3 linked regions of the Notamacropus eugenii genome follow. The protein of the gene in region 1 interacts with the protein of each later gene in a pairwise test. Links are inferred from orthologs where the notes say so. Each region holds a gene or a part of one and is shown in the gene's direction. Other genes may lie near its edges.

The links.
Region 2: the proteins of SH3GLB1 (region 1) and TPD52L2 interact in binary tests that used the Homo sapiens proteins (3 or more experiments, as listed by UniProt). The two-hybrid records come from large-scale screens. The link is inferred for Notamacropus eugenii from reciprocal best matches to the Homo sapiens genes SH3GLB1 and TPD52L2.
Region 3: the proteins of SH3GLB1 (region 1) and SYP interact in binary tests that used the Homo sapiens proteins (3 or more experiments, as listed by UniProt). The link is inferred for Notamacropus eugenii from reciprocal best matches to the Homo sapiens genes SH3GLB1 and SYP.

Annotation. Positions count from the first base shown.
Region 1 is NC_092873.1:496,315,802-496,324,094, forward strand, and holds the start of SH3GLB1 (endophilin-B1), read left to right. Parts: upstream 1-4,858; 5' UTR 4,859-5,016; coding exon 5,017-5,079; intron 5,080-5,226; exon of another isoform or gene 5,227-5,378; intron 5,379-5,638; exon of another isoform or gene 5,639-5,811; intron 5,812-5,860; exon of another isoform or gene 5,861-6,157; intron 6,158-8,293. UniProt on the Homo sapiens protein: May be required for normal outer mitochondrial membrane dynamics. Required for coatomer-mediated retrograde transport in certain cells. May recruit other proteins to membranes with high curvature. May promote membrane fusion.
Region 2 is NC_092872.1:496,481,351-496,489,211, reverse strand, and holds the start of TPD52L2 (tumor protein D54), read left to right. Parts: upstream 1-4,652; 5' UTR 4,653-4,799; coding exon 4,800-4,818; intron 4,819-7,861.
Region 3 is NC_092879.1:102,205,914-102,213,895, reverse strand, and holds the start of SYP (synaptophysin), read left to right. Parts: upstream 1-4,522; 5' UTR 4,523-4,609; coding exon 4,610-4,627; intron 4,628-7,097; coding exon 7,098-7,163; intron 7,164-7,975; exon of another isoform or gene 7,976-7,982.

The DNA of each region.
Region 1 (8,293 bases):
GAGGCTGGTGACTTGCACAGCCCTCCCTCACTCAAAACAAAGTCAAGTGCAAGTCATGTCATTATTTCTCTGATGGTATGGTCTTTTTCAAAAAAGGACAAACACAACCAACAATTGATATAATGTCACTCTACTCAGAAGTTTTCTTCCCTCTCAGCTGAAGAACCTGCCTCTAACGTTCCTGAGGCTATTTACCATGTGTTCCTCCTTTACCCCTTCTCTTCATTTCAAAGCCTCTTGACATCATCTCCCACTCTCTCTTCTTTAACCACCTTCTCTAACAATAATGTGGCCTTTCTTCTTACCTAGGCCAAGACCTGTACATGTATTGATCCTGTCTTTTCCTGTCCCCAACACACTGTTCCCTCAATGAACTCCCTCTCTCAAATCTCCAACTTCTCTCTAGCTACAGTTTCTTCCCTATAACCTTTAAGGATGGCCAAGTCTCCCCCATTCTCAAAACAAAACAAAAAATCCTTCATTAGACATTACCTCAAGCTGTCATTCAACAGCTCTCCTCTCTTTTTCAGCCAAACTCTTATAAAAAGCTTCCTGTACTTGTTGCTTCCTTTTTCTTTCTTCTCACTCTTCAACCCTTTACAATCTGGCATCTGACCTCATCACTCAACTGAAATAGCTCTCTGCAAAATTACCAATAATCTCTTAACTGCAAAATCTGATAGTCTTTCCTTAGTCCTCATCCCATTCAACCTTGGCAATAGTGACCATCCTCTTCTCCTGTGTACTCTGAAATTTTTTGACATGACTGTCTTCTGGTTCTCCCCTACCTGTCAACTCCTTGTCCATATCCTTTGCAGGGTCACCATTCATACTACACCTCTAAACTGTGGTGTTCCCCAAGGTTCTATCCTAGATTATTCACTCCTGTAGAGCAATACACACAATGATTACACAATATAAAGGCAAAACTAAAAGGCAACAGAAAGGTCAAATACAACATATAGCATAGGTACCAAGCTGTTAATACTAAAGCACAGATCCTTCCTTTCGTTAATAATCAGTAACCTACAAAAGTGAAAAGTACTCCTCAGGGAGTGTATTTTGTGGGAGGGTTCATTTGGGAGTTTTTTAGGAAGTATCTGTTACATCAAAATAAAATTAATAAAAAAAATTTAGTTAGTTGCCACAATCAACTAAATGACCTACCAGTAGTTACCCTGTATCTCACTAATGCAATGAGATATAACAGGATTTTTTCATCATTTGTAGTTGCGTGGAGGGGAGAGAAAATGTGATTCTGTAAGCAGGAAAATACTCTAAGGATTGTATAGTGGGTAGGGAAAACCAAATTACTCTTCAGTGATAAAACTGGTTGCTATAAGGGAAATGTGACAGGAGAGTGAGATGGGTCTCTTTGTCCTGCACACAAATATTTGTCCTTCTAGTGTAATTTGTACTGTTAAAGCATCTCCTTTGGGCTTACTCCCAAGTCTCACTCTCATTGGCAGGCTGTGTGCCCAGAGGGCAGCTGACTACTACTCCTCTCAAGATTCTAGGGGGTAACTCTGCCAGGTTTTTTTGGGGGGAGGGAATGTTATATTACTATCACTACATTGATGTGTTCCCAAATATTAACTTGATGATGTCAACTCATTTTTTACAAAGGGACATATACTAATGTGTTATATAATGTAACATCTACTTTAGAGGGAGGAAGAATGGTATGGATCTGTAGAGAATTCAGGTATTTTAAGGTTTTTATTCATCTCCTGAGGCAAAGAAGTATTGTGCAATTTGAGAATTGGGGGGGGGGGGGAAGGAGAGATGCAGCAGGGCACCTGAAAAAGGAGAAAGAACATGGAGAGAAGAGGGAGGTTGTGGGACGTTTCTCTTGTTTTTATGGAGTAGCTGAGCTACTTGGCTAGAAGCAATGGTATCTACAGTTACCCTCCTCAAATCCATGCTTCTGGGGAGCCTAGAGAGATGAAGCCCAGAGGAGGCATGGTATAAGACTGTGTTTTCTTGTGGGTATAAGCCAGGTATAAGACTGTGTTTTCTTGTGGGCACTTGCTAAAGTGTTTGGAATGCTGAGGAAGAATAAGGAGGAACTGGCAGTTCTTGCTCCTTTTCCACCTTAGCTGGGTGCAACTTGAACCTGTTTCGAAGAATGACCTTTTATTCCATTAAAGGCTGCATGTGACTGATCTAATCTAATATCTCTCAACACCTGTAGTTGACCCTGGCCCTCATATTTCTTTGTGTACCTTTGTTTGTAATTTGAAGGCACAGGACAAGCATGGAAGTCATCAGGGGAGAAACCTTTTCTAGATACTAACCCTCAGTCCATGGTCCAGAGGGCAGCAGACCAATGGAAAGAGTGTCTTGAATTAGAGATAACTGAGTCTGAATTTTCACTGTCGCTTAAACTCCCTGGGTCTGAATTTCTTCATGGGTACAAAGATGGAATTTGAATTTGACAGTCTCTAAGATCTCTTCCAATTTTAGTTCTCTTAACTTTTATCATTCTCCCTAAAGTGTAATAGTCTTATCTCCTGACTGTATGTGGCAAATATGTGATATGAGCAGAAATTTCCCCCAAATCTCCTACTTATTAAAAATGTGCTTTATAAATCCAGCTACCTGACTGTCCATGCCTGTTTCCAACTACTTGAAGCTCATTCTTGCATCTTTCTCTGTATCACAAGGCTCCTGACCTTCACTTATCCTGATGTGCTTCTGTGCCTGTGTGTCTCAACATAGCTTAAACAGTCAGCCATTATCCACAGGGCTCAGTTACCAGCATGTATTACAAGATAGAACATTCAGTCAAAACTACTACAAAGAAATGCAATAGGATAAAATGTAAAGTATTCCATTTGGTCTCCAAAGCAAACAGACAAACAAACAAGTAGAAGGTAAGGGAAGCCTGGCCAGGTAGTACAAGCCATCTCTGAGATTGGAGTTTAAAAAAAGGAAGAAATAGCTGCCATCTTGACAAGACTTTAAGCTTCGTGAACTCCTTTTCATACATAATGCCATTTGAGCCTCACAATAACCTCCTGGGATGGTTACTTTGAATACCAATTTTAAGGGTAAGGAAACTGCAGTTCAATGATTTGCTCCTAGTCAAATAACCAGCAAGTTCTGGAGGGTGAAGTTTAGGGTTTTAGGATGCATTGAGAGGCTATTCTTTGCCCTGATCAGACTATCTCTGGGTCAGTTAGGGATGCCACATTTTAAGTACAATGATAAGCTGGAGAACCTCTGGAGACAGGGAGATGGGGAAAGTGAAAGGCCCAAGTTCATGCCACATAAGGATCAATGAAAAGAACTGGAAGTGATTAGCCTGGAGCAGAGAAGACTGGAGGGGCACACGACAGTCCTGTCTTTAAATACTTAGACTCCTTGTGCCCTGGATGGCAGAACTGGATGGAATGGACTGAAGTCATCAAGGGCTGATGTAGGATAAATTGACAGAAAATTTTAATAACTATTACACATGATCCAAAGCAGAATGTGCTCCCTAGGGAGGCAATCTGTTCTCCTTCTCTGGAAGTCTTCAAACAAAGGCTGGATGGCCGCTTGTTCCTGGGGACTCTTCCTTTCCCTTTGTACGCATTCTGACTTGGGCACTCTTCAATTATAATTGGGTCCAACTATCGTATTTCCATGCAGATGGCCACGCTCTGTTTGTCTCCAAACCACCAGTCCTGCATCTCCAACTGCCTGCTGGTCTCTCGATGCCCCGCTGGCATCTCAAGTTCCACATGTCCATAACAGAACTCCCCCATTTCTGTTGGGCACCGCCATCCTTCCAAGGACCCAGGTTCAAACCCTTGGCCGTTTTTGGCCGCTCTTCCCTCGCTCCGACCACATTCAGACACAAGTCCCAACAACTGGAACCCCCCCTTGCCTCCCACACCTTCTTCACCCACGCCTCCTCTCACGCACATTAGCCCAGGCCCTCGCGGGCACCGCGTGCCCCGCTGCCATCACTCTCCAGTTGTTCTCCTCGACCCCGTCTCTCGGCCCTTTCCCTTTGCCATTGGCTCATCATTTCCCCGGAGCCCCCCCACTCCACGTGTCTCCGTGTCACTCCCCGTGGGGCTCCTGGCCTAGCTGGCCTCGCGTCTCTCTGGTCAGTCATCTATGGGAGTGTGTCTCGTGGCGCCCCCTTGGTGGGACTCACGCCACCCCACCGCGCCCTCCCCCAAGCCGTGGCCTCCCACCCCCGGGGGAGCTGGGCGTGCGGGCATCGTTCACCCCCAGCCCTCTCTAACCAGAGCCACGTCCCTCCTCTGCTTCCCCGCCCCCTCAAGCACCGCCCCTTCCTCGCCTTCTCCCCATCCCAGGTTAGGCCCCGCCCCCAATCTTAGCTCCTCCTCTCCCCTCTCCCAGGAGAGGCCAGACCCGCTCCTTCCCTGATCGCCCCTCCTCCTCTCCCAGTCCTTATCCTCTCTTTCCCCTCCCCTTCTCTCTCCCTTAGAGAGCTAGGACCCACCCTCTCCTTCCGCCCCGCCCCCTCCCAGTCTCTCTTCAGTCTGTCCCTCCCTCTTTCCTCACTTCCCCTCCTCTCCCTTCCCCACCTCCCCAAGCTAGGCCCCACCCCTGTTCGAAGCTCCTCCCTCGCCTTTCGCTCCCCTCCCCTTCCCTCCTTTTCATCCCCTAGGCGAGCTAAGCCCCGCCCCCTCCTCTCCTCCCCTCCTCTTCTCCTCTCTCCCCGCTCACATCCCTCTCTTCCGTCATCCCTCCTTTACCTTCGTTTTCTCCTCCTTAGCGCGCTAGACCCCGCCCCCGGCCGCTCCTTCCGCCTTCTCTCTCGCCCCTCCCCGCCTCCCCAAGCTAGGCCCCGCCCTCCCCCTCTCCCCCACCCTCCCCTCCCCTGGCTGCTGTCCTCTCTTCTCCCGGGCCGGGCCCCGCCCCCGTCTCCCGGCTCCTCTCCCTGCTCCCTGTGAGGCGGCAGCGGCGGCTCCGCCCGGCTCCGGCTGCGGCTCCGGCTCCGGCTCCGGCTGCGGGCCCCGGTCCCGGCCCCGACCCCGGCCCGGCGGAAGCATCATGGACTTCAGCGTGAAGAAGCTGGCGGCGGACGCGGGCACCTTTCTCAGCCGCGCGGTGCAGGTAGCGCGCGGGCCGGGCCGGGGCGGGCGGGAGGGAGGCCGAGGCCCGCGGCCCGTTCCCCGAGGCCCCGCCTCCCGCCGCTGACAGCCGGGCCGAGCCAGGCCGGGGGCGGGTCGGTAACGGAAGGAACCGTGGCCTCGCCCTCTTCCTCTCCCCGCGGGCCGCGAGACCCGGGAAGAGCGAGGCCCGAGCCGGGACCTGACCTCCTGACCTCCCCCGGCCCCCACCGGGCCCCAGGGCACTGGGAGGCGCCCGAAACGCGCAGCTCCAGCCGCGCCCTGGGTCCGGAGCCCCACGGGGTGAGGACCCCGGGCCCGGCCCGCGGCGTCCCCAGCCGGTCACTTCCCCGGGAGCCGAGCTCGGGGCGCCCCGGGGCTGGCTCCGCGGCCCGCCCCAGCCTCCCCCGGGAACTCCCCCGGGACGGAGCCAGAGGCGCGTCAGGTCCGCGGCCGTGCTGGGCTCGGCCCGGCGCCCCCTCGGCCCGGCGCCCCTTCGCTCCGGCGCCCCCTCGGCCCGGCGCCCCCTCGGCCCGGCGCCCCTTCGCTCCGGCGCTCCCTCGCCGGCCTTCCCTTTGGCCCCAGTCCTAACTGGAGGTCCTCGAACTTTGGAAAGGATGCGTTTTCGGGCCGCTTCAGGATAGCTGGTTTCCTTTGTTACACCGCGTTTATTTTTCTGCCTCTTAACAAACGTTCTTCCCGAGGGGCTCCAGGACCTCCACCGAACTGCCCGCAGGTTGGGAGCCTGCTCTGGGTCCTGGGTTCTCCTCTGGGACCGTTGGTTAAGCAGGGAGTAGGCTAGGTGGGGTAGCCAGCCGGAGAGGTGTGGCCGGCCAGGGGAGTCGCCTCCCTGCTTTATCTGGGGGATAGAGGTGTAGCTGGCGGGGGCGAGCGGACCAACGCCCTCCTTTTGCCCGGGGGAAGCCGGCCCAGGGCCCCCTGCTGTGTAAGCGGCAGTCGGGATTCACCTGGAGAGCCTCGGCCTTGAAGGAGGGTAGAACTAAACGTTCTTGGAAACCATCTCACACCCACGTTTTAAAGATCTACCACGGTTTAAGAAAGGTGCACTTAAAAAACAAGAGGTACACTCGAGATTCCAAAGCCTACCAGGACTACTGTCGCAATTGCTCCCTTAAATACCTTAAAAAGAATTTTTATCGCTAAGATAACAAATTTATGTGTGACTCTTGACGATACCCTTAAACCGTAACGCTGAGTTTTAGTGAAAACATCTTCTTTTAAAAAATTAGCCACAGTTCAAAAGGTCATAATTTGAAATTGACTCTTTTTTGGTTGAGTAAATTTCTGTGTTCATCTTTACAACCAGAAGTGATTGAGAACTTGGAGTAAATTTAAATTTATGGTGATCATTTCTAATTCTACTTAGTGCTGTCCATTTTATAAATGAATGAACTTGTGTCATTGGTTATGTTTTGATCTCCTTTAATACCTATAAAAACATTTTCCTTCTTTAGGGTGGTGGATACTTGATAAATACAGTCTAGTTCTTCCAAGGTGTATTCTTACATTCCTAAAACAAGGTGCCAATAGGATTATTCATGCGTTTATGTTGTCTGATTTGTATTATTTAATTAGTCTTTCTGGGATTTGAATCTTATAGTTTCACTGAGAAATTTACATTAGGCCACTAAAATGTTGCCAATAACACTATTTCTGTTAAAAGCAGGAGACTTCTTCTGATCCAACTAATTTCAGTTGGAATTTTACTCATTGTTTCTATAAAGTTTACCTGATAAATAGGTCAGTGACAAGTCAAATTTATTCATTATTCAGATCAGCAAATGTTAACTAAGCATTTATTATGTGGTAATTATTGAAGATATAAAGGATAAAAAAGGTTTTGTCCTCAAGGAACTTTTTATTCTACTGGTTTGAAAGATGTGACAGGTACATAAATAATGATTATAGATAAGGTCTGGTATGGAACCATATTTTAGGATCAAAGAGTTGGGCTGGAATGCACAGTAGGGTGTCTTGGGCCTACCTCCTTATTTTACAGATCAGAAAGTGAAGGCCCAGCAGAGATTAAATGACTTACCCAAAGACATACAGGAAGTAAGTAGCAAAAGTTGAACTTGACCCTTTTCCTTGTAAGAATACATGGCCTTATCGTGCAAGAAAATTTAAGAAGAGAAGGAATACTTTTCCACTGGCGCAAGAATCAGGGAGAATTTCAGGCTGTATTTTGTGTATTAAAAAGGCTTGACTATTGGGATGTTCTCTTCAATAAATAAGAATTCCAGGTGCCTACCAGGTCAATTTGTACACTGGCCCAATTTCTAAGTGCCAAAAGCAGTCTTAATCTCTGTCTATATTTAATGTCTTCCTCCACATACTCAGTTCCAGTTGGAGTGACTGGGTCTGATATGTTTGTATAGAGTGGTAGCCTAAGGAGACACAACTGGAATTTACTATCCTAACTTCAGATGACAGACGGTAAAGTCTAGAAGTGTTGATAGTATGCTTTTAAAGAAGTGGTGATTAAAGAAAGTAGGGAAGAGAGCTTTTGTGAGCTTTATTTATACTCAAGTCTATCTTACCTTTCACTAATACCATTCTGTAACAATAACTTTGACTTACTTTTCAAGAATAATTTTTGAAGTATTATGCTAAATCAACGTAAACAAGTTAAATTTTTTTTTTTCACTTTTGCTGGATCCATTACCTTAAGAATAAAATTTACCACCTTTCAGAGTTAAGAGATCTTGGGACCATACTTCATGTGAGATTGAAAATACTGTGCCTGATTGTTTAGACAAAACAAGCACACTGCTTTGTGAAGCTTATTTCAGTTTCAGCATTTAGTCAGTAACTGAGATCTCATTCTACACTTTATTGACATCGGTAATCACAGCAGTCTTAGGATCATAGATTTAGCATTAGATTGAACCTTAAAAGTCATCTAGCCTATGACAATGTACAAAGTCTAATGAGTTGCAGTTAGAGCTTGAGAACTGTACCCCACCAGATTAATAGTAGTAAGGAAAACAAATTTTCATCTACTTAAATATTAAGGATTTTCTAGTAAAATAAAAAAATCTAGTAAAAAAAAAATCAAATAATGTCTTTTAGTAAGAATAAACAACAAACCAGAATTTGTAAGAACCTTAGATTCCTTATTTCTTCCCCTATCTGGTACATGGTTATTTTGATTTCCTCTGAATTGCAGACCTTTTAAGTCCTAGCTAAAAGTCCCA
Region 2 (7,861 bases), on another chromosome or scaffold:
TGAGAAATACACTGAATACTTAAATAGCCCAGCAACTAAACAGACACATGCACGCATGCACACACACAATATTGAACCTGATATTGCCATTGGAATGACACCTTTATATTCTAATGAAATCCGTCTATCACACAGGAATGTACATAATTTCCCCTCAAGACTCATAGTGCTACTTAGTGATTAATATTTCTCCTGGAGGGTAAACATACTCTGGGAATTTCTGAATAAGTAAACTTTTTTATTTGCTTGGATCTATCCAAGTAACTCTGCTCAGGAACTAAATTAATTCTTTTCTTTTTTCCAAGGAGTACAATATTTCAAGAAATTGTCTCTCTGGAGAATGTCTAGCATCAAAACTCAAATCAAGAACTCTCAAAATTGAGATTCTCCCTCAGGCAGCTCCCAGATATGGGACTCTCCTCTCTCCACTGAGTGGGCACACACATTTCTGCTTTTGCCTTTTGCTTCAGTGGGAAAGTTTCAGTGTCAGAGTTGTTGCCATCTGTTAAGCTGGGACATCTCATTCTCTGGGATCTCTCCTTTCAGATTCTGTGCATTGACATCATCTGCTTCTGCGTGTGAGAGGAGAGAGAAATCTCTTTCCACCTTTGCTGTACTCTGGAAGAAGGCAACAGGGGGAAAATGATAAGTAAAGACATTAGACACTAATTCTATAGACCAAAAGAAAAGAAATCAGATCTGAAGTCAGTCAATCATCAGGAGAAAGCACCAGTCAGTCATAAACTGTGAGTCAGTAAACATTTATTAAGCACCTACTATGTGCTAAGCATAGAGGATACAAAGGCAAAAGACAGTCCTTGCTCTCCAGGAGCTTATAGTTTAATAAGGGAGAGAAGATTGGAACAACTACATATAAACTACGTATTCTATAGTGGTTTGCCAAATTTATGCATGATAAATGGAAAATAATCAACAGAGGGAAGGTAAGAAAATTAAGGGGAATCAGGAAAGGCTTCCGGTAAATGACAGGATATTAGCTGGGACCTGAAGAAAGACAGGGAATCTAGGAGGTGGAACCCAACTAGTACCACACCAGTGGACATGCTCAGATTTCACAGAAAAGTATAGCTTAGATGCCTCTAAATAAGCGGGTATGTTTCAATAATCTCAAATTGGTTGAGGGAACTTATTTAGATTTTACTTATAGCTACTTCTTTCTGTTATCATCTTGACCAATTTGACAGATATGAGGTGATACTTACAGAGTTGTTTGAATTTGTATTTCTGTTAATTGCAATTTGGAACATTTTTATATGACTGATGATTATTTACATTTCTTCCTTTGAAAACTGTCCCAACCAAACTCTCCAGCCTCATTATACTTCCTCTCTGGTTCGATATAATCCTTATATTCAAATATATTCTGGCTTTCTCTTGGTTCTTCACATATGATACTCCATTTCTCATCTTATGTCTTTATACTGGCTATTCTCCTTGTCTAGAGTGCAATTCCTCTTCCTGTCTACTTCAAAAATGTTTCTTCCTTCAAGATGTAGCTTATGCATCACCTTCTACATAAAGTAATTTCTGATCTCTTCATTTGCTAATGCCCTCCTTCTCAGACTACTTTGTATTTTATCTGTATAGACACATATGTATATGTATGAGTGCATATGTGTACACTGTTGCCTCTATTATTAAGATATAAGATCTTTTCAAGGAGAGACTGTTCCATTCATTATAATTGTACCCCCAGCACATAGCATGATGCCAAGAACATAGTAGGCACTTAATAAATACTTGTTGATTGATTAAGTAAATGCAAAATTTATACAAAATAAATACAAATTATTTAGAAAACCTTCTGGTAATTTGGATAGAGACCTAGCCTTGGAGCCAGGAAGGTCTGGGTTCAAGTCTCTTTTATATATACTAGACAAGTTACTTAACCTCTTAGTGCTTCAAAGAAATTCTAAGAGTATAAATTGCAGAATAGTCCCAGATCTTCATTGACAGACTAAGTTTTCTCACAGGGAAGCTTCCTATGCTGATGAAACTGCAGGTCCAGACAAAAAAAAAAGGTAATTTTGGGGAGAGAACACTAAAAACTGGGGTCATCAGAAAAGACTTTTAGGAGGTAGCGCCTGAGTAGAACCTTAAATGGAACTAGAGATTCCAGGAGGCAGAGGTAAAGTAGAAATTTCCTGGCTCATTTTTTTTTTCCCTTTCAGATCTTATTTATAGTATCCCCCAAAGTTCTTTTTTTGCCCTTTTCTTTTAAAAAATTACTTATTTGGTATTTTATTTTTCCCCTGCCCTTTTCTTTAATCTTCCAATATTAACTCCCTTGGTGATTTCATCTAATACAATGGCTTCAGTTAATAGTTCTATGCAGATCTCTCCTAAATCTATAACTCCAATACTGATCTCTCTCTTCTGACATCTCCTCTGAGCTCCATTTATTTCCATTCGCCTGATAAACAGCTCCACCTAGATATCCTGCCAGCATCTTAAATTTAATATATCCAAATAAATCATCTTTACAAAATCTTCTCCTCCTTACAGCTCTATTTATCTTTTTAAAAGTGAATTATAGTCAATTTAAATCATTTTTTTCAATTAATGAGAATTTGCCTTCTTTTTCTCACCTACCTCCATTGAAAAAATAAAGGGGAAAAAAAAACCCAAACTGTTGTAACAACCATACTACCCTAAACATGCCCATCTTGTCTTGTCCCATTTTTCTTACTGGCATCACTATACTTTTTCTTTTTAAATTAGTTTTTACTGGCTTTTTTTTTTTACATTACCAAGATTTTCCCCCTCATTCATTCCCTTCTCCTCTCTCAGAAAGTCATTCTATATAACAAGACAGATTTTTAAAGGAAAAAATAGAAGAAAAAATAAGCAGAACTGATCAACATACTGAAAAAGCCTGAAAATAAGTGCTATGTACCACAATCATGGAGTGATCCCACCATGGAGTGGGATCGGAATGCCTTTTAACCATGTAATTCTTTGTAACTTTGCAACATTAACTTCTTTTGGTGATTGTTCTTTCTGTTTTCATTTTTGTAGAAATTACGTATATTTTCTTGACTCTGCTTACTACAGTCTGCATCAATTCATGTAGATCTTTCCATTCTTCTCTGGCTTCATCATATTCATCATTTCTTACAGCACAGTAATGTTCCATTATAATAATGTACCATAATTTATGTAGACGTCCGTCAACTGATGAGCATCCACTTTGTTTCTAATTCTTTGCTATCACAAAAAGTACCACTATAAATTTTGGTGTACAAGGGGATTTTCTCCTTGTCAATGCTTCCTTGGGGTATACACCTAGCAATGGAATCTCAAAAGGTACAGACATTTTAATTGCATAATTCCAAATTACTTTCTAAAATGGAAACAGTGATCCACCTCAACATCATCCAACTAGTGCTGTTTCCAGTCTAGACCTTTAGGATGATAACTGGATACAAAGTGTTTTCCCATCTGACTTCTTTCCTTCTTAACCTAGGTAGGTGCATTAATTTTGCCTGTGGAGAAGTTACACTTGCCATGTAAATGAACTACTATACTTTTTTTCAAAACAACCCTGTAAAGTAGGGTTAAGACAAATAGTATTGCCCGTATTTGAGAAGAGGAAACTAAGAGGTTACAAAACTTCTCCTGGGTCACAAAGCAAAAACCCAACCCCAGAAGTCCAGTGCGGTCGTGGTACCATTTTTAAACTTTTAACCCACGGTAAGATTTCACTAGTATAGGGAAAGCCTGCAGGGTAAACTGCTTCTGGTGAAGCAGATCTACATTTGCTCAACAAAATGGATTCTAAGAGATGCCCGGGGCTCTGAGGGGTTAAATGACTTGCTCAAGGTCACACAGCAAGTATCTCCGGTCAGAGGCCAGACTTAAAACCAGATCTCGCCTCTGAGGCCACAGCTCTCTACCCACCACTCCATGGAGCAAGATGCTGGCACAAAATTATACTTAATTCAAATTAAATCCAAAAAGCTTTTATTTAGCACCTCTGCGCAAGAGACTGTGATGCAGACACTGAAGAAAAACAGCCCCTGTCCTCAAGGAGCGAAGGCTGTTTATGGGACTGAATTAAAAATACCTTCCATTTCTTAGCAGTAGAGCCCCACGTTCCCATAGACCTGAACGATCGCCAAGACTGAGGGCAAGTGGCACCTAAGGAAAGAAGTGGGGGGCTTGCAGGTGCGGCCCCAAGCTGGTAACTTGGGACTGATGGCGGCGAGGGCCGGGAGAGGGAGCTTCGCCCTGGGACTAGGGGCAAGTACTCAGACTGGCGGGGCCTGGAAGAGGAAGAGTTAAAGTTGGACGGTGTAGACACAAGGCAAAACGCGAGAGTGAGGTGGGCGCTCAGGTTTAGGCTCCGGCAGCCAGAGCACGGAAAACGACGCAATCCAGCACTACGGAGTCCTCCGAGAGCCCACGCTCCTCTCGCCTCAACTCCTTCCTGCCTTTCTAGCCGGGAGCACGCTAATCTCAATGGTGAATCCGAACTGGGCCGGACTCCGCCAAACTCCACCCGCCTTGCCCTCAGGCACGTGACTCAACACTCGCCTATCAGAAGGACGGAGTTCGAGTGCAGGCGTGACCGGAGGAGGCTCTCATTGGCTGATTCCGGGGGAAGGCGGGGCCAGGGAGCAGCGGGTGGGGGTGGGGCTCCCAAGGGGAAGTGAGTGGCGGCGGCTGGGATTACGTGCAGTGGTGGTGGCTGCAGCGGCTCCGAGTCTTCTGGGCGCCGAGTGGAAGCGACGGACACCAGGCTTGGCCTCGGTACTTGCCCAGCATACGGCCCGGACATGGATCCCGCCAGCCAAGGTAACCGAGGCGGGAGGAGAGCAGTGACGGAGCCGCTGACTGACTGACCGACCGACCGACTGACGGACCGACAGGCCGCCCGGCCCCGCCTCTGGGCCAGCCTACCCCCTCCGGGCTCCGCCCCCAGCCCCCTGGGCCCTTGAGTCCTCTCCGCCCTCGGGGGTACCCGCCCCTCACCTTAGTTCTCTCTGTCCTGTTATCCCTGTGGCTTCCTGGCACGTATGCCGTCCATCCCCCCATATGTACGTGTCCATGGTATCCCCAGTCCCCTCGTATGTGCCCTTCGGTGCCCCCCACCTTTTCTTTGGTCGACCCCCCCATTTCCTTCTAGACCCACCCCCAGCCTCCCCTGGTCTCTCCTATTGGGTTACCCCCCGAAACCCACCCCTCCGTATCGGATGGGGATCCACCAGTCATCCCTTGGTCATCTCCCCGTGTCGTGTCATCCCATTTCTTCTAGCTCTTACTTCTCTTCTCTAGTCCGACTGCCCGCCTTCCCCCTCCCCCAAAAAACTTTCAGAATAGAAGAGAACGCTGTTTTTGGAATTAGAGGACTTTTTTTTTCATGCTGCTTCTTTGTTTTAAGAAACTACCGGGAACATTTTCTAGGACCCTCTTTGGTTGTTTCCCTTCTTTTCCTACCTTGCACAGCCCTCCCTCACTCAAATCAAGAGTCAGCTGCAAGTCATGTCGTCATCTTGATGTCATGGTCTTCTTCCGGAGCAAGGACAAACTCACAGTAACAACTCTTTTCCTACCTCGTACCCTCCGTGGGGATCTCCGTGCAATCTCTCAGCAACTTTACCGCCGCCCCTTTCCGGAGTCTTCGCTTCTCCCCCACCCCACCCCGTATCTCTGGGAGGGGCCCTTTAGTCATTTCCTTCATCTTCATTCAGCAAATATTTATTAACTGAGGAACCATATTCAGTGCTGCCTACCCTCCTTTTCATCACCCTTTGTCCTGCCCCCAATTCTCTCAGGTCACCCACCCCATAATGTCTTCATCTTCTTCAGTCTTCTTCTCAAAGCTTTCTCCTACATTTTGCGTTTGTCATAGACCTCTCTTGCCTATTTCTTAGTATTTTTAATTTCCTTCCCTTCCTTAGTTCTGTCCAGCCTTGAATCTCTTTCAGCTCTCCTTACACAGTCTTACAAACCTTAGTATCCTTACTCTTCCAAACCTCCTTCCATGTAAACTTCTCCAACTTTAATTGCTGCACTTCCAGACTCCTCATTGCCCTCACCTGTTCCTCCACTTTTTCAATCCATTTTCATGCTTCTTTCCCAGACATCTCCCACACAGGAATTTTCTGCCTTCCTCAACACTCCCCTTTCTTCTCTCACTGATATTTGAGGGATCTAGTGTAGGTGTGTCTGTCTAGTAGGTACTCACCTTACGGAATCAGATTCTAGGGCCAGCATCCAGGATGCTGTTGAATAATCACCTTGAATTTCACCTTCATTGTGCTATTCCCCCCCTACTCAAGTCCTCAGTGGCCTACCTTACATCTGTTGTCAATGTGAGTGTCTGGTGTTACCTAATCAGGAGTAGGAGGAGATGGCAGTTGGCAAATCAGGTAGGTCAAGTTGTAATACTGACACACCTAATCAAGTCTGTTTCAGAAAAAGCTCCTTCAGTGGTATTTCAGTGGCCTGGTAAAAGGAATGTGATAAGAAATATGCATCATTAAGGCTTGGGATAAAATAATTTCAGGGATTTCAGAATAAAAAAATGTTTTGCATTTTGACAGATATGAACTTTGAATTGTTTACAGTATCACTGGGTTTAGGTTGCTTGTTTTTAGTTTGACATCTGTTTTTATTTCAGTGGAAATTTTTATAATTTGGTGGTGACTGTTGTAGGGAAAGGATTTCTTGGTTTCTATTTTTTTAATTGTTGCATATCTCCCCAGGGTATGGTTTTCTAAAATAAAATTGATGGGTAACAATTGCAGCAAAATTCAGGCATTCATTTACCTTAATGGATACCACAGCAGGTAAAAATGATTAAGCAAAAAATATGAATTAAATAGAATTTAAATTCAGAATCACTATTTTTCAAAAGACATTTTTCATTCAACAGTTACCTCCTGAGAACCTATGCCTGGGGCTCAGGACCCAAAGTTAATTGCTGCTAAGGATGTATAGATGAATAATATGTTCCCTGTCCTTAAGATTCTTAGAGTCTTCTGTAAGTTTTGTTTTTAAAAGAAATGCCTTTTTTATTTTAAATTTTTAATGATATACATTGAGTGTGGTAGGAAAAGGTTTTGTTATTAAATTGTAATGTTTTAATGTAATATTAAGCAATGATGTTCTAAGAAGTGAAATAAGCTATATTTCTGTGGTATCATCTAGATTCCTGGAGTATAAAGGGCAGAGGAGTATATGCTAAGAAGCGTGGACAGATCTCATTCATTGCAAGAAGTTTAAACTTAATATGGAAAGTAGTATAGCCCATGGATGTAGTCAGTCAACAATTAGCATTCATTTAGCCCTTGCTTTGTGCCAGGCACTGTGCTAAGCACTAGGGACACAAACAAAGACAAAAAACACTGTCCATATAAGTAATTAACGCAAGATATATACAGAGTAAATGGAAAGTAATCTGAGAGGGAAAGGCACTAGCAGCTGGTGGACTAGACCTCCTAAAGAAAGTCAGACTTGAGCTGAATCTTGAAGCCAGAGAAAGTAAGTCAGTGCAAAGGTACAGAGTTGGGAGTATTGTATGTGAGGAACAGCAGGAAGACCAAAGAGAACCTGGAAAGGGAGCACAGTGTAAGAGGACTTTGAATGAGAAATAGAATGCTTTACATTTGATGCTGGAGGAGGAACCACTGGAATTTACTGAGTAAGGTGTTGGCATGCCCAGACCTTTGTTTTAGGAAAAGCACTTTGACATCTGAGTGGAGGATGAATTGGAGTGGGAGACACTTGAGGCAAGGAGACCAATTAAAAAGCCTAGATAAGTGAGTTGTGATCAGTACTAAAGTGGAGGCTGTGTGAGTGAAGAAAAAAGGGCATGCTATCACATATGAAAGCT
Region 3 (7,982 bases), on another chromosome or scaffold:
GATAGGGGCAATTAGAATGCTCAGTGTTTTGGGGTAGGGGTAGGGGACAAGTGGGGAGAAAATTTGGAACCCAAAATTTTGTGAAAATGAATGTTAAAAGTTAAATAAATTAATAAAAGAAGAAGAAGAAGAAGAATAGGTCAATGGCATTTCCAGAAGTTGCTCCTTTGTTTGTGTGTAATCCCTGCCCATTCACTCTCCCCACTGGTTTCTTGGCTATCTATGTGAGAATACCCCCTGTGTTGGAATGTGGGAAAATGTTCTATTGAAAATCTTAATATGCTATTTCATGAAGTGCTTTGGGTTTGGATCTAACTGAATTCTCTGGGTGACACCAAGGGAGGGGCTCATGAGCTGTGGCCTCACAGACGAACCTGGGGGACCCAAGTGTGTGTAAATGTGGGCCAGTGGGTATGTAGACATAGATAGATGTTATACCAGAATAAATGTCATCCTGGAGGAGGTGAGCTCAGGTACAACAGTTCCAGCTGCTATCTCCTGGGTCTAGAGGGGATGGCGAGAACTCACCTGGGGCCTGGCTTTGATGGAGTAACAAAGTGGGAGACCAAGGGAGACCCAAAAATACATACAGACACTGAAAGTTACATAGACAAAGGGAGAGGGCGACACAGAGGGAGGCAGAGAGACACAAGACAGACCAAAGGTTGCTTTTAAAAATATTTTTTCAATTACATGTAAAAAAATTTTTTTTATATTTGGTTTTGTTTGCTTTTTTTATGTGGAGTTCTAAAATCTCTCCCTCACTCCCTTCCCCCTCACTAATAAGGCAAGCAATTTGATAGAGGTCATCCAATTGCAGTCATGCAAAAGTTATTTTCATATTTGTTATGTGCAAAAAAAAAAAACCAGAGGAAAAAACTGCCAAGAAAAGTAAAGTTTTAAAAAGTCTGCTTCAACCTGTATTCACTCTCCATCAGTTCTTTCTTTCATCATAAGCCCTTTCACACTGTATTCTTGGTAATGCTGAGAATAGCTAAGTCGTTCATGATTGCTTGTCATACAATATGTTCTTGTGTACAATGTTTTCCTGGTTCTACTCACTTCACTTTGCCTCAGTTCATAGAAGTCTTGCCAGGTTTTTCTGAAATCTGCCTGCTCATCATTTTTCAAAAATTATTATTTATTTTTAGTTTTCAACATTCACTTTGACAAGATTTTGAGTTCTAAATTTTTCCTCCTCCCTTCTCTCCCCACTCCCCAAGAAGGTGTATAATCTGATATTTAACGTATTTCCACATTAGTCATGTTGGAAAGAAGAATCAGAACCAAATAGGGAAAACAACAAGAAAGGAAAAACAATGAAAAAGAGAAAATAGTATGCTTCGATCTGTGTTCAGACTCCATCCATCCATGCTAACTTTCATCTCATACCTCTCCCCCCTTTTGTGGATAAACACTTTTGGGGTTTAGAAAGTTGCCCACAATAGGTACCTCCATTTGCCTTCCTCTTACTCTTTTCTCTTTACAGTTTAGCTTCTAACCTCATTACTCAACTGAAGCTCCTCTCTCCAGTTACTCAGGATCTCTTGGTTGCCAAACTCAGTAGGCTTTTCTCAGTCCTCATCCTCTGTGACTTCTCAGAAGCCTTTGACACTGGCAACCACCCTCTTGTCTGGAGGTTTTCATGACTCTGCTGTATGTCAGTTCGCCTCCTTGTCTGAGTGCTCCTTTGCTATATCAGTGCCCTTTGATACATCTTCATCCAATGGTGGGCTCTGTCCTGGGCCCTCTTTTCCCTCTAGACTATTTCACTTGGTGGTCTCATCAGTTCCTGTGAATTCGATTCTCATCTCTATGCAAATGAGTGTCAGATCTATTTGTCCAGCCCTGAGCTCTCTCAGCTGACATCCAGTCCCATATCTCCAGCTGAAAACTGCATGTCATGTGAACATGCTCAAAATGGAATTCCTTACCTCTTCCCCAGAAACTCTCCCCTCACAGTTTCCCTATTACTTTCCATGGCATCTTATCCTTGTAGTCACCTCCCATATCCAATCTGTTGCCTAGTTCTGCTGTTTCTGTCTTTGGAACATCTTCCAAATACACTCCCTTCTCTCCTCTGGCACTGCCACCTCCTGGTGCAGGTTTTCATCACTTCAGCCGTTGATGATGGCAGTAGCTGCTGGAGGCTCTGCCTGTCTTTGGCCTCTCCCCCCTTCAGTTCATCCTCTACTCAGCTGCCCAAGCACAGATCCAACCCTATCACTGGCTCAAGAAACTGCAGCGGACCGGAGCAGCTGAGGCTGTTCCCTATCATCTCTAGGATCAAATATTAAATCCTCTGTTTGACATTCAAAGCCCTTCATGACCTGGTTCCCTACTACTTTTCCAGTCTTCTCACACCTTATTCACTTCCATGTCCTCTGGGAGCCTTCTGGATTTTCCTCCAATAGAACACTCTGTCTCTGGCCATTTTCACATGGAATTCTCTCCCTTTGCATGACTTCTTGGCTTTCTGAGCTTCCTTCAGGTCCCAGCCTTTCCTGATCCCCCCCTATTTTTAGTGCCTTCTCTCTGAGATCGTGTTTGTTTTATCCAGTGTATCCCCCATTAGATTGTGAGCTCCTTGAGGGCAGAGTGCATTTAGGGTTATTGTATCTCCAGAAAGTGGCACAATGTCTGGTACCTAGGAGATACTTGAGTAAATATTTATTGACTTACGTTATTTAGGTGGTGCTGCAGTGGACAGAGCTCCAGGCTTGGAGTCAGGAGGGACCTGATTTCAAATCCTGCCTCAGACACTTACTAGCTGTGTGACCCTGGGTAAGTCACTTAACCCTATTTGACAGAAAAGAAAGACTGAAACATAGTAGATTTTGATGTATCTAGACAATAGAGACACAGATATGGGAGAACCAGAATTAATGAAAGACTGAAATGGGAGTGTTCGTGTGCGTGTGAGAGAGAGAGAGGCAGACACACAGACAGACGCACAGACAGACGCACAGACAGACGCACAGACGGCAGACGACAGACACACAGACAGACACACAGACAGACACAGACACACAGACACACGGACAGACACACAGACACACAGACAGACACACAGACAGACACAGACACGCAGAGACACAGACCAAGTAAAAGACCATTATTTCTCCTTTAACATTGTAGTTTGCTCAGCATCTGAGAGATGAATGGTTGGAATCTCTCACTATTTTTATTTTGTTTCAAAGTTTGTTTGGAACTTAGTGAAGTCTTTGATACAATCCCTTCCTGAACGTTGGGTGCCTAGGTGCTTAACAGCTACAGTTTCGCAAGGAGCTACATGGCAGACTTGTTACAATGGAAGAAGAAACATTTGGTTCACCAAGAACCAAGAAAGAAGGCAGCCTCAGGGTATGTCTAAACAAAGGTCGTAATAGAGGGAACATGCGGAGGAAATCTAAGGTTTCCAGTGAAGGCAACAAACTTGGTCTCCTAAGCAGTGATTACTTTGGGTAGGGGGCCCTGTCTGAACTCTTGACTCTGAAAGAATGGATTTGAATGGGCCATTGTTCAGCGAGCTGGGAGCTCAACCGTGGCACGTCCCTTCCCAAAGCCATCCAGCCCTGGCTGCTAGTCCAGGCTTCTCAGGCTCCGGATGAATCGGTAAAGGGATGGCAGCCTGAGCTCCCAGGGAAGGGACAAGCTTCCAGGACCAAGGACATGACAGCCCATCGTCCTAGGCTCACTTATGGCAGCTAGGTTCCCAAAGGAGCCCCGACAAGACTTGTTTCTAATTAAGTGTCAAACCTGGAAAAACTCAGAGCCACGAGGTGATCAGAACATAGTGAGGCATTTCTTTAGGGGAGGGGGGAGTTGTAATCCCTGGAGAGGAAGGGGAGAAAGGAGATTCTCACTGTAGACGAGGGAAACAGGAGGGAGTAGGGATACATGGGACAGGCGGACTGCAAGAAAAGAAAAGAAAGGAAAGGAAAAGAAATCCATGTTTGCAGAAGTGTCCTTGCTGCTCTCTCTGTGCGGGAACAGAAAGTGCTGGGGATGGCTTTTCCTGGCCACTCCAAGCTGCGGGGGTGCCCCTCCCTGGAGGCCAAGTCAAGGCTGGGTGCGGTGGACTTGGAGGGGGCTGGGGAATTCAGATTCCCGTTTACAATGGACTCTGGGATCACCGAGTCCGCTTTCATCCTTGAGTCTGTGGGGCAGTCCAGGTCACCTCCACTCTTCAAGGGCGACCCCCTGAGGGAAGGAATGAGGGGGGGATTCCGGTTAAAGTCGGAGCTGAGCTGGATGGGAAAGAAATCTCGGCGGGCTTCCTAGAGCAAGAAGCTTGGGGGAAGGAGTTGAAAGCCTTTGAAGTCACCGCCCCCAGGGCCCCCCGGGACAACCCTTCGGAAACCTGCGCTATCTCCATTCCTTCAGAGGGCCGCCCGTCGCTACCTTCCTCTCGCGCGCCTGCGCATGGGGAGTAGGGGTGGGGGGTGGCAAGAAGAGCAGCGGAAGGGGGAGGCGCGAGGACCGGAGCAGCTGAGGCTGTTCTAGCGATCGCAACGCTCCGCCCCCCGCCCTGCCGCTGCAACTGCTACTGCTCCTCCCCCCGCTGCGGCTGCGGCTGCGGCGGCTGCTGGGCATCCAAAAGGCTACCATGGACGTGCTCAACCAGGTGGGGAGATGCCGAGGCGACCGAGGGCGCTTCAGCACCACGGACAGCCGCCCCCGAGCTAGCTCCTAAGCCCCCAGGGGTCGCTCCTACCCTTCCCGGAGGGCTCAGGGCCGGTAGCCAAGAAATGGACAAAAGGGCGGGGCGCGGTGGGAGTGTGTGTGTGTGGGGGGGGGGGTGCAGGAGGTGAAGGAGACAGTCGGGGGACCTGGGGGGAGATGAAGGAGCTAGAAGGGGGGGACTGGGGAGGGGCAGGAGGTGAAGGAGACAGTCGGGGGACCTGGGGGGAGATGAAGGAGTTAGAAGGGGGGGGCCTGGGGAGGGGCAGGACGTGAAGGAGACAGTCAGGGGACCTGGGGAGGGGGAGAAATGAAGGGGGGTCTGGGGAGGGGGAGAGATGAAGGAGCTAGAAGGGGGGGCCTGGGGAGGGGCAGGAGGTGAAGGAGACAGTCAGGGGACCTGGGGGGTAGGAGATAAAGGAGTTAGAGGGGGGGACCTGGGGAGGGGCAGGACGTGAAGGAGTCAGGCTGTAAGGGGAAGCGCCCAGGGGGCGAGAGATAAAGGGGGGGGAGGTGCAAGGCCAGAAGAGGCCTGGAACTGAGAAAGGTGCAGAATCGGGGGATGGATCTCAGAGGATGCAGGGAAGGCCCGGTTGGCTAGCAGAGATGAGCAGTTAGGGAGGGAGGAACCCCCCAGGACAACCAAGAGGAGAGAAGGAAGGTCGAAAAGGAAGGCAATGAGAGAATGCGGAGGAAAATGGGGGAAAACCAGTTCCTGAGGGCATCCAGGAAGGAGCATAATAGAGAGATTTTGGCCACAGGGGTCCAGAAGGAACCCCAGGCTCAATTTGGGGGGTGGCAACGTGAGAGGAAAAAAGCCTAGGGGCCCCAGGAGGAGGCAGGAAGCTGAGGCAGGCCTGGAAGGAGAGCTTAGAAGCAGTTAGCTAAGGGGAGGAGGGACGGCAGAGGAGACTTGTAGTTGAGGGACACAGATGGGACAGATAGAGAAATCCCAAAAGGCACCAGGAAAAGAGGAAGGGGAAACAGCCCTGTAAATGACAGGGGAGAGAAGGTGGAAAAATTCAGGGGGTCACCAGGGAGAAGAGGGGGAGGCTTGCCTAGGAAGTGGAGGTATTAGGGACTAGATAATCGATAAGGATGGATGTGTAGGTTTGTGGGTGGGGAGAATAGAGGAGAGAGGGAAGGGAGGGAAGGGGGAGAGAGGGAGGGAGAGAGGGAGGGAGGGAGGGGAGAGAGGGAGGAGGGAAGAGAGGGAGGGAGATGGAGAGATAGAGAGGGAGAGAAGGAGGGAGGGGGAGAGAGAGGGAGACAGAGAAGAGAGTGACAGAGAGAAAGAGAGAGACAGACAGACAGACAGACAGACAGGCACAGAGATTTGAAAGACAGAAATCTTGAAGGTCATCCAGAAGGAAGAGGTTGACTTGGAGGTTTGATGGGTAAGAAATTCCAGAGAAACGTCTCTAAGTGAAAGAGGAGGTCTGAATTTGGGGGAATAGGAGGGAAAGAGAAGGGAGGGGGATCTAGCAGGGGGATAGGGGGGAGACAGGGAGAGAGTGAGATACAAAGAGAGACAGATGGAGACAGAAAACAACCTCTGCAGATCCTGTCCCAGAGAAAGGCAGAGGTCTATCAAGGGGCCTGGGGGAGAGAGGGAGGGGAGATTCCAAAGGGCATTCCAGAGAAGGAAAGTGTAAAAACAGATGTTGATGGAAATGGGGGCAGAGGAAGGAAGGCTTGAAGTGGAGAAAGGGGGGGTGGGGATGGGATAATGAGGATGGAGACATGAAAGTGGAAATGAAGGAGAGGGAGGAAGCTACCTAGAGGATAGGAGGGGTGAGAGGACGGTGAAGGTAGGAATCTGGGAATGAATCCAGCAGTACGGCAGATGAATTTTTGTGAGGGAAATGGACAATTCTTGGCTGGTTCCTACATGAGCAGATGGCCTCAAGATTAGGTGGGGAAAAAAGGGAGATAGATGGAGAAATTCGAGTCAGAAGAGTTGGAGTCAGAAGAGGTTTGAAAGGTACTCGCGCGCGCGCACGTGTGTGTGTGTGTGTGTGTGTGTGTGTGTGTGTGTGTGTGTTCCTCTGTTAAGCTGAGAAAATAGAGTGACAGCAGGCAGGGTGAGAGCAAGGCTAGAGAGATGGTGAGAGGACTGGGAAGTGTGGGCTGACCCAGAAGCTTGGTTCCCTTGGATGGGGGCAGTGCCCTTTGCAGAGGCTGCACCAGAGCTACCCCCTCTCCCCATAGCCTTGCCCTCTCTAGCCTTCTTGCGTCACCTACCCTTTAACGTTCTCTTCCCTCTTTACCCCTTTGTCTTCTTCCTCTTCTCTCCCTTCACTGGACCTCTACTTATCCCCCTCCCTATCCCTTTTTCTTCCCCTCCTTTTTAAGCTCCATATTTTCCCCTCTTCTTCCATCTTTCCTCCTCATCCTTTCTTGTTTCTCTACAGCTGGTGGCTGGGGGTCAGTTCCGGGTGGTCAAGGAGCCCCTGGGCTTCCTGAAGTTACTGGAATGGGTGAGTCTCTTCTGTGGAGAATTTCTGGAGGGATGAGGTTAAGGTGGGTATCTCTCTGGTTCCCAAGAGAGGGAATCCTGGTGAGGACGGGAACAGCTAATTCTGATCCGGAAGTGAGTCATGGGAGAGGCTGAGGGAGAAGGGGAGGCCCCAGTTAATCCACCCTCAACCTTGGTAGGCAGAGAGATGGGAGCAGGGGAGGGCTTATCTGGGATTATGAGAGGAGAGGGTCAAAGGATGGCTGAGCCATCTGCCACCTGCCTGGTCACCCACTGGGCTAGAGAAGGGAGGGAGAGAGAAGGCAGCTGACCAGCCCGGACAAAGCCATGGAATTAGGATGCCTGGATTTCATCAGAGGTGTTTGGCAGTCTCTTGACATATTCATCAATAAGATGGAGGGGTGTGTGCCAGTGAATGTCTACTTGGATGGTTCAGAGATGGTCAAATGGATAAATTCCCAGCAGCAAACAATCAAAGCCATTCTGGAAGGAGGAGGTCTCTAGTAGCAGCCCCTGCCCTCCACCTTCTCTCTTTTTCTAGTCAGAAGCAATAGAGGAAGAGGATGTTGGAGAAATCGAGGGGCAGGAGTAGAGCTGGGGGGGAGCATGGCTGGGAGAGGTAGTTTTAAAGGAGAGATGCAGAAGTAGGTGAATGGGGGAAGGAAGGAGAGAGAGGAACAGAGAGAAAGAGAGAGAAAAGGGAGAGAGAAAGGGAAGGAGAGGAAGAGAGACAGAAAGAGAGAAGAGGGAGAGGGAGGGGAATGAGACAGAAATCCTCACATTCGCTCCGTGATAGTCAGTGCTTGGAGGTTTGTGGGGT